Arabidopsis thaliana: one gene and its partner. The protein of the gene in region 1 interacts with the protein of each later gene in a biochemical or structural test. Each region holds a gene or a part of one and is shown on either strand. Other genes may lie near its edges.

Region 1 (4,853 bases):
ACTATGTAGTAGTCTAGTGGGACAAACGACGTGACGATATCAAGAGGGTACAGGATTAAAAGCTATGAAGTACGTTACCAATTACAATCTCAAGATTCTCAACCACCGGATTATAACTACAAGTACCGATTTGGCGATTTGACGAATACAGATCTATCAATTAGCTAGAAATTTTCTTTCCATGCATTTTCCCACCCTCCCATTAGATGATGATGATTAGAAGACCACGATCTCATTGGTGTTCACTGATTCAAGAGCATTTCAAGAGAATATAATTCTTAATTATGAATTTGTTCAATAATTAATCCCCACCCCACTTTTCCAAATCACCCTTACATGTTCACCAATTGTAACAAATAATTAAAGAATCAAAAGTGATTTCTTTTTTAATACTTATTGTTGGGAAATACTTAATGCTAGTCCATAACTCTCTTCAATTATTTAAAGGAGGAGTAAGTAAGTTTTTTTGCAAGTCCTTTTGTGGTATCCATGTGAGTTATACATTGGGGAGCACAAACTTCCCCACTCCCACAAGCCACGTTTGTCGCTTAAAGTTTCTAAGTTTTTTTAATTTTCGCTCTTTTTGGTTTGTTATTTATGAGTGTATGGAAGTGGAGTCTCCCCCTTGAACACTTCAACATTTACACTACTAATCCCGACTTAGACGACAAACATTTTTTCTAAGTTCGAATGTAATTCTCCTAATTCGCTTTGACCTGTTTTTGAATTTTATACTATTCAATTTTAATTTAGATATTTATCTACTTTAGACTTGTAGAAAATTGTTTTCAATACGAGCATATTTATTACCTACTATGGAACCATTTACGGATTTACCACCATAAATTAGACACCAGTATTCATATAAACTATCTCTAATTTTGAATTTAAACAAACGAAAACAAAACTTAAATCTTCAACTGGCTAACAAAATTTTACTCATCAATAAAACAAAGCAGTGCATTTTGTTTTGCATTCTAATGTCTCTTTTCTCTTATTCGACCTACATCAATAGTTTCATACAAACAAAGTCATTTTGGAGCATTTTTGGTCTTTGTTTAGACTTAATTATTTATGTAATTAGGTTTGCAAAAAGGCTAGTCATCTGCTTTATGCTTACTGTCAATCCGTCATCATTAGTTGGACATCATGCACGAGATTTGGTCTCAACAAAAATATTAACCTATTTCTACACAACATTCAAACTAAGGCAGTCAAAACTTATGTACTTATTGAAATACTAATTGATTAGCAGAGAGACGTTAAACAATGAGCTTGAACTTGAAGTAATCATGTTACAACGTGTTTTGGTTCATGCTTAGTGCTTACCATCAAATTCTGCGATTTGTGTTATTTCCAACGTATAGCATGCTACAAACCACTCACATGATTACACATGGAATCGTACCCACACGCTCGTCGAAATCGCACGTTACGCGCGAAACTGAGTCAAAGAGGTTTATATCTGACGTCATCGACACTTGAAACCGACATGTTTTCACACGTGGCAAGGTCCCACTGGTCACCGACAACTACAAGAAAAAACTGCCGGCGCAGATTTAGCCGTCCGACTAACGTGCGCTTTCAATTACATTATACAGAAGTCTCTCTTTCTTTCATTGACGGTGATGAAGACCAGCTCAAAGCCAGGTCAAAATCCATCAATCCTGGCCTCATCAATGTTAAAAATCTTTACTTTCACACATCTCTAGATCTTCCATAGAAGGATCAATCAAAAGCTGTAATCTTTCTTTCTTCCTCGTAGCTCCTTCTCTTGCGGATCCTTGTCGGTACACTTCTACATTCTCAAATCTGATTCCTTTCTGGAGTTGCTCCTGAGCTACGGTTCAGCTTCAATTACTTCGATCTCGTGTAAAAATCACTTCTAGAAGCTTTGATAAGCTTTGATAGGAGTTGGTTTTACTCTTTAGGGTTTTGTTTGAGTTTGATCTTTATTGTATAGATGTTGTGATCTTCGTACACTCTATATATGTTTCCAAGGGTTTCTATGAGGCGTCGCTCTGCTGAAGTTTCTCCTACAGAGCCAATGGAGAAGGGAAATGGAAAAAATCAGACTAATCGAATCTGTTTGTTGGTTGCTTTGTCACTCTTTTTCTGGGCATTGTTGTTGTACTTCCATTTTGTTGTCTTAGGGACTAGTAACATTGATAAACAGCTCCAATTGCAACCTAGTTATGCTCAATCTCAGCCATCATCAGTCTCTCTTCGTGTTGATAAATTCCCTATAGAGCCTCATGCAGCTCCATCGAAACCACCTCCCAAAGAGCCTTTAGTTACTATCGATAAGCCAATACTCCCTCCTGCACCAGTAGCCAATTCTAGTTCCACCTTTAAGCCACCTAGAATTGTTGAGAGCGGGAAGAAACAGGAGTTTTCGTTTATAAGAGCCTTGAAGACAGTAGACAACAAGAGTGACCCTTGTGGAGGGAAGTACATTTATGTTCACAATCTACCCTCAAAGTTCAATGAGGATATGCTTAGAGACTGTAAGAAGCTTAGTCTCTGGACTAACATGTGTAAGTTCACAACCAATGCTGGCCTTGGGCCGCCGCTTGAGAATGTTGAAGGTGTCTTCTCTGATGAAGGTTGGTATGCGACTAATCAGTTTGCTGTTGATGTGATATTCAGCAACCGGATGAAGCAGTACAAATGTTTGACAAATGATTCTTCCCTTGCTGCTGCCATCTTTGTGCCGTTCTATGCTGGATTCGACATTGCTAGGTATCTGTGGGGATACAATATCTCGAGAAGGGATGCTGCTTCGCTTGAGTTGGTCGATTGGCTCATGAAGCGGCCTGAGTGGGATATAATGAGGGGAAAAGATCATTTCCTTGTGGCGGGTAGGATAACGTGGGATTTTAGGAGATTGTCTGAAGAAGAAACTGATTGGGGCAACAAGCTTCTCTTCTTACCGGCTGCCAAGAACATGTCTATGCTTGTGGTTGAGTCGAGCCCATGGAATGCTAATGATTTTGGGATCCCGTACCCAACCTACTTCCACCCAGCAAAGGACTCAGAGGTTTTTGAATGGCAAGACCGGATGAGAAACCTGGAAAGGAAGTGGCTTTTCTCGTTTGCAGGAGCCCCACGACCTGACAATCCGAAATCTATCAGAGGGCAGATCATTGATCAATGTCGAAACTCAAATGTTGGCAAATTATTAGAATGCGATTTTGGGGAGAGCAAATGCCATGCACCAAGCAGCATTATGCAAATGTTTCAAAGCTCTCTCTTCTGCCTGCAGCCACAGGGAGACTCTTACACCCGAAGATCGGCATTTGACTCAATGCTTGCCGGTTGTATACCGGTCTTCTTCCATCCGGGTTCAGCCTACACGCAATACACGTGGCATCTACCCAAGAACTACACAACCTACTCGGTATTCATCCCCGAGGATGATGTTCGGAAGAGAAACATAAGCATCGAGGAGCGACTCCTCCAGATTCCAGCCAAGCAGGTCAAGATAATGAGAGAGAATGTCATCAACCTCATCCCAAGGCTGATCTACGCAGACCCGAGATCAGAACTGGAGACGCAGAAAGATGCATTTGATGTCTCGGTACAGGCTGTGATAGACAAGGTGACTCGGTTAAGGAAGAACATGATCGAGGGCCGAACCGAGTATGACTACTTCGTGGAGGAGAACAGCTGGAAGTATGCGTTGCTGGAGGAAGGCCAACGGGAAGCAGGGGGCCATGTGTGGGACCCGTTCTTCTCCAAACCAAAGCCCGGAGAAGATGGCAGCAGCGATGGTAATGGAGGCACGACTATTTCAGCAGATGCAGCTAAGAATTCATGGAAGAGTGAGCAGAGAGATAAGACACAGTGAAAAGAGACAGAAACCACATTTTGTTACGGTTTTGATATAGTTTTCGGTTACTATTTATACGGACAAAAAATGATTTATTTTTGTTGTATTGGTATCAAATGTAGTTTCTCCAGTTTCATAGAGATAAGTTTGTTTGTATCAGTTACCCACAGAAATTAATAATAAGAAGTGACCCTTTTCAAGTTTCTAACTGAAGACAGTGCCTATGTTTAATTTCGTTTGCATTTGACATTTTGCATTTGCAACACATATTCAGAACTAAAAACGGACATTACCCGCTAGTCTCATGCATCATTCATCAAACAGTAGCAGACCGAGTTTGTCATCAAAGGGTTAATCAAAGAGACAGACAAGTCCCGAAATAAGCTTAATCATCTACAAGCAAGTCAATGCCAGATATTTATAAGCAAAAACAATGTCAGGCACTAAAATAACTCACTAAATAAGCTTAAACCATCATCCTACAAAGCAAGTGACTGCAGATCATATTTATAAGCAAAAACAATGTCAGGCACTAAAAGAAAAAGAACTCACTAAATAAGCTTAAACCATCATCCTACAAAGCAAGTGACTGCAGATCATATTTATAAGCGCTCAAACCTGTCAAACAGTAGCAGATTTAGCCCCAACGAATTGGTAATACTTAGGGACTCTAAGAACTGCATCGAACCACTCGATCTTCCCCCAAATCTCTTTCTTGCTGCGCTTTTCAAGGGAAATTTCTGCGCACCAAACCATCTTCTCCTCATACCCACTTGCAGGCACATACTTGTGCCACAAAACAACCAGCTTACCACCACAATCCGCCAACTTAACACTACTATATCTAGCAAACTTAGGTAGCCCTTCTAATCCCACTAATGATCTCCAAACTCCTCCCTGTCTTCTTCTCCATCTAAACTTTACACTGGGGTCATAATGATAGGTAATCTCCTCTATCATGCAAAAAGAACCTCGACCTAAATCTGTATTGACCGAAAATCCTAACACTTCATATCCTTCC
Region 2 (4,672 bases), 7.8 Mb from region 1:
GTCGACGAGGATAATCAATTTATATGGAGAATATTAGCTGGGATCTTCTCAGCTATTGCTGCCATTTTCTGTACTTACTGGGACTTAGTCTATGACTGGGGTCTTCTAAACAGAACATCTAAGAACCCTTGGCTCCGTGATAAACTCCTTGTCCCGCAGAAGAAAGTATACTTCATCGCGATGGTAAGCACAAACTATAGAGTAACACAACATTTGGAATCCTAGTGCAAAATTGATTCTTAACTTTAAAAACATATGCAGATCTTGAACATCTTGCTCAGGTTCGCGTGGCTGCAGACCGTGCTTGATTTCAATTTCTCCTTCATGCACAGACAGACGATGGTTGCTGTTGTTGCCAGTCTAGAGATTATCCGCCGTGGGATATGGAATTTCTTCAGGTGAGAAAACATAAGTTACTGCAACTTTTCTTCACCATGTATTAGCGCTATTTACTGTCACACAACATATGATATAACTTTCTTGGGGATTTGTTTATGCAAAAAAACAGGTTAGAGAATGAGCATTTGAACAATGTTGGGAAGTATCGAGCATTTAAGACGGTTCCATTACCGTTTAACTACGACGAGGATGACGATAAAGGCAACTAGTTTTCTCGGTTTCTAGTCTTAGATTCTGTAAAGACTGATTCATCCACAACGAGTAGGAGGAAGATGGACTAGACTAAAGCTGGTTCATTGAGATCAAGGAGATGTTTCACTCAGGATAACGGATATTCGCTAGATTAGCCATAGTAATTAGGGTCACTGATTTGCACTTAAAATTTGTTTCATTGAGAGAAACATGAAATTCATGGGCATCAACAAAGCAATGACTTAAAAACCAAATTCTCCCACAATAACAAAAGTAATAATCAGAAACATTCAAAGTATCAGAATAACTTAACCAAATAAATTCTAATAATCGCTCACTTTCCCTTGGTTTCTTCTTCTTCTTCCTTCTTCTTCGCCGCAGCGGCTGCCTCCTCCCCTTGTTCCAACTCCTTTAACGACTGAGTCCGCATCTCTTTCTGCATTGCTAGAAACGGTCCGTAGTAATCGACGTTAGTATACATACATGTAATCAGCTTCAATCTAGCATCTCGACAGTTCGTGCCGTCATCTTTCACTTCCCTACAATGATCAACTTCTATGAATGCATCTTTGCAATCACCTTTTTTCAAATACCGACTAAGCCAACACTCTTCACAATCTTCTTCCTCTTTCTCCTTGTTAGTCTCACTCAAATCATCATCAGAACTTACTGTTTTGGATTTGTTCGGATCTTCCGAAGCAGCAGATGAATCTCCTCCTTCATGATCCAAAGGGTCGTTACCGCTTTTTGGTTTGCTCTCAGAATTCTCAGCATTCGCATTCATAGAAGACATGGTTGTTTGATTTTAAAAGACGAAGTTAGGTTTGAGAGTCAAGAACACAAGTGGGAAGCTTAAAACCCCTCCTCTTAAACCCTTTAGTTATGTCGGCTTTTAAGTTTTAGGAAATAGTTTCGTTAAAACCTATTCTTGGAGAACAAGTGGTGGTATTCTTGGAGAACAATTTTTCTTTTATGGTATTTTAAGATTTTTTTAATTTTAAAAATGGTATTTTAAGATATTTTCTCTTTAATTATCTTATTACTTAAAATTATATACATTATTTTATAAAATTTTGACATTTGTAATTTTTTAAAGATTACTGTAGTAAAAATTTGACAGTCCTAATTAGAAGTAATTAAATTTTAACATGGTTTACTTTTTCTAATATTCACTTGTTACAATAGGGGTCAAAATATAACATTACAAAGTTTATGGTGTAAAAAGTAATAATGTAGAAGTGAAGATATTCAATTGAAATATAATTTTATTACAATTAAACCATGTCGTGGAGACATGTTCTGAAATAAAGTTATGAAGTCGGTGAGTGACTTTAGAGTCTCCCTCAAGAGCAATCAATGGATCAGAATTCGTACAGGAGAAGATCGTCTCCGATCAGAACCACTACCGGCGGTTCAAAGTCCGTTAATTTCTCCGAACTACTTCAAATGAAGTATCTCAGCTCCGGTACGATGAAGCTCACGAGAACCTTCACTACTTGCTTGATAGTCTTCTCTGTACTAGTAGCATTCTCAATGATCTTTCACCAACACCCATCTGATTCAAATCGGATTATGGGTTTCGCCGAAGCTAGAGTTCTCGACGCCGGAGTTTTCCCAAATGTTACTAACATCAGTATGTGTTCTTCCAAGTCAAAGTTTTGAGCTTTATTACTTTAGATCTCGTTCTTTACACTACGCATTTGCCTCTGTATGTCCATAGCTCTTGGTCGATTTCAATTTGAGATCTATACTCATAAAAATTGAGTCTTTGTCAGTCACAAGACTACTATTTTTGGTTTGATGTTGTTTTGGTGAAAAAGTGCTCTTTTGTTTTGGTCTCAGCTTAGACTGTTACATTCGTTTTTTCCGAGTTTTTTAGATTTTGTTCTGATTCTGTTTTGTTTTGTAGATTCTGATAAGCTTCTCGGAGGGCTACTTGCTTCTGGTTTTGATGAAGATTCTTGCCTTAGTAGGTACCAATCAGTTCATTACCGTAAACCTTCACCTTACAAGCCATCTTCTTATCTCATCTCTAAGCTTAGAAACTACGAAAAGCTTCACAAGCGATGTGGTCCGGGTACTGAATCTTACAAGAAAGCTCTAAAACAACTTGATCAAGAACATATTGATGGTGATGGTGAATGCAAATATGTTGTGTGGATTTCTTTTAGCGGCTTAGGGAACAGGATACTTTCTCTAGCCTCGGTTTTTCTTTACGCGCTTTTAACGGATAGAGTCTTGCTTGTTGACCGAGGGAAAGACATGGATGATCTCTTTTGCGAGCCGTTTCTCGGTATGTCGTGGTTGCTACCTTTAGATTTCCCTATGACTGATCAGTTTGATGGATTAAATCAAGAATCATCTCGTTGTTATGGATATATGGTGAAGAATCAGGTGATTGATACTGAGGGAACTTTGTCTCATCTTTATCTTCATCTTGTTCATGATTATGGAGATCATGATAAGATGTTCTTCTGTGAAGGAGACCAAACATTCATCGGGAAAGTCCCTTGGTTGATTGTTAAAACAGACAATTACTTTGTTCCATCTCTGTGGTTAATACCGGGTTTCGATGATGAACTAAACAAGCTATTCCCACAGAAAGCGACTGTCTTTCATCACTTAGGTAGGTATCTTTTTCACCCAACTAACCAAGTATGGGGCTTAGTCACTAGATACTACGAAGCTTACTTATCGCATGCGGATGAGAAGATTGGGATTCAAGTAAGAGTTTTCGATGAAGACCCGGGTCCATTTCAGCATGTGATGGATCAGATTTCATCTTGTACTCAAAAAGAGAAACTTCTACCTGAAGTAGACACACTAGTGGAGAGATCTCGCCATGTTAATACCCCCAAACACAAAGCCGTGCTTGTCACATCTTTGAACGCGGGTTACGCGGAGAACTTAAAGAGTATGTATTGGGAATATCCGACATCAACTGGAGAAATCATCGGTGTTCATCAGCCGAGCCAAGAAGGTTATCAGCAGACCGAAAAAAAGATGCATAATGGCAAAGCTCTTGCGGAAATGTATCTTTTGAGTTTGACAGATAATCTTGTGACAAGTGCTTGGTCTACATTTGGATATGTAGCTCAAGGTCTTGGAGGTTTAAAGCCTTGGATACTCTATAGACCCGAAAACCGTACAACTCCCGATCCTTCGTGTGGTCGGGCTATGTCGATGGAGCCTTGTTTCCACTCGCCTCCATTCTATGATTGTAAAGCGAAAACGGGTATTGACACGGGAACACTAGTTCCTCATGTGAGACATTGTGAGGATATCAGCTGGGGACTTAAGCTAGTATGATTTTTTGTGTGCCTTACTCTGTTTTTGATTATTTGATGTATCATGTAACTTCTTAAATTAGCTTTAATAAAGTCAATTTTTGTGCTTTTGACATTTTCTCTTAAAATAGATAAAACAAGAGCATAAAGGTTGAGTTTTTATTACCAAAGTCTCAGTTTTTTTTTGATGATCTTTTGCTTATTCTCTTACTCTTCCTATGTAACAAATGAGGAAAGTAAAAGGGAGAGATCAGATTTGATTTCTTTTTCCATTTTTGTTTAGATCTTAGGGTTTCTGAATAATGTATCCCTCCAGAAGAAGATTATCTCTTTCCAGAGCCATTGATCAACAACCGGAAGATCAATCAGGAGTCCAAGAAAAGAGTTGCAGATTCTTAGGAGCAATGAGAATCACAGAGATCTTAGCTTTGTTCATGGTTTTAGTCCCTGTCTCGCTAGTAATCGTAGCCATGTTTGGATATGATCAAGGAAATGGCTTTGTACAAGCATCTAGATTCATAACAATGGAACCAAATGTGACATCCTCATCAGATGATTCATCACTAGTGCAGAGAGATCAAGAACAAAAAGGTAAACTTACTTTCTTCTTTTTGTTTTGAAATGTTTCTAAATTTTTCTTTGAATGTTTCATCAGATTCTGTAGATATGTCTCTGCTTGGAGGGCTACTTGTATCTGGTTTCAAGAAAGAGTCTTGCTTGAGTAGATACCAATCTTACCTCTACCGTAAAGCTTCACCGTATAAACCTTCGTTGCATCTACTTTCGAAGCTTAG

The links.
Region 2: the proteins of MUR3 (region 1) and FT1 form a complex in vitro, tested with the Arabidopsis thaliana proteins (one study listed by BioGRID).

Annotation. Positions count from the first base shown.
Region 1 is NC_003071.7:8,790,365-8,795,217, forward strand, and holds MUR3 (Exostosin family protein), read left to right. Parts: upstream 1-1,574; 5' UTR 1,575-1,990; coding exon 1,991-3,850; 3' UTR 3,851-4,037; downstream 4,038-4,853. Other genes in the region: AT2G20380 (Galactose oxidase/kelch repeat superfamily protein), read right to left, coding at 4,454-4,853. UniProt on the Arabidopsis thaliana protein: Involved in the attachment of the Gal residue on the third xylosyl unit within the XXXG core structure of xyloglucan, the principal glycan that interlaces the cellulose microfibrils in plant cell wall.
Region 2 is NC_003071.7:969,629-974,300, reverse strand, and holds FT1 (fucosyltransferase 1), read left to right. Parts: upstream 1-1,884; 5' UTR 1,885-1,947; coding exon 1,948-2,224; intron 2,225-2,500; coding exon 2,501-3,900; 3' UTR 3,901-4,056; downstream 4,057-4,672. Other genes in the region: AT2G03240 (EXS (ERD1/XPR1/SYG1) family protein), read left to right, coding at 1-183, 262-398, 509-608; AT2G03230 (GCK domain-containing protein), read right to left, coding at 926-1,384; FUT2 (fucosyltransferase 2), read left to right, coding at 4,181-4,469, 4,534-4,672. UniProt on the Arabidopsis thaliana protein: Involved in cell wall biosynthesis. Is both necessary and sufficient for the addition of the terminal fucosyl residue on xyloglucan side chains, but is not involved in the fucosylation of other cell wall components.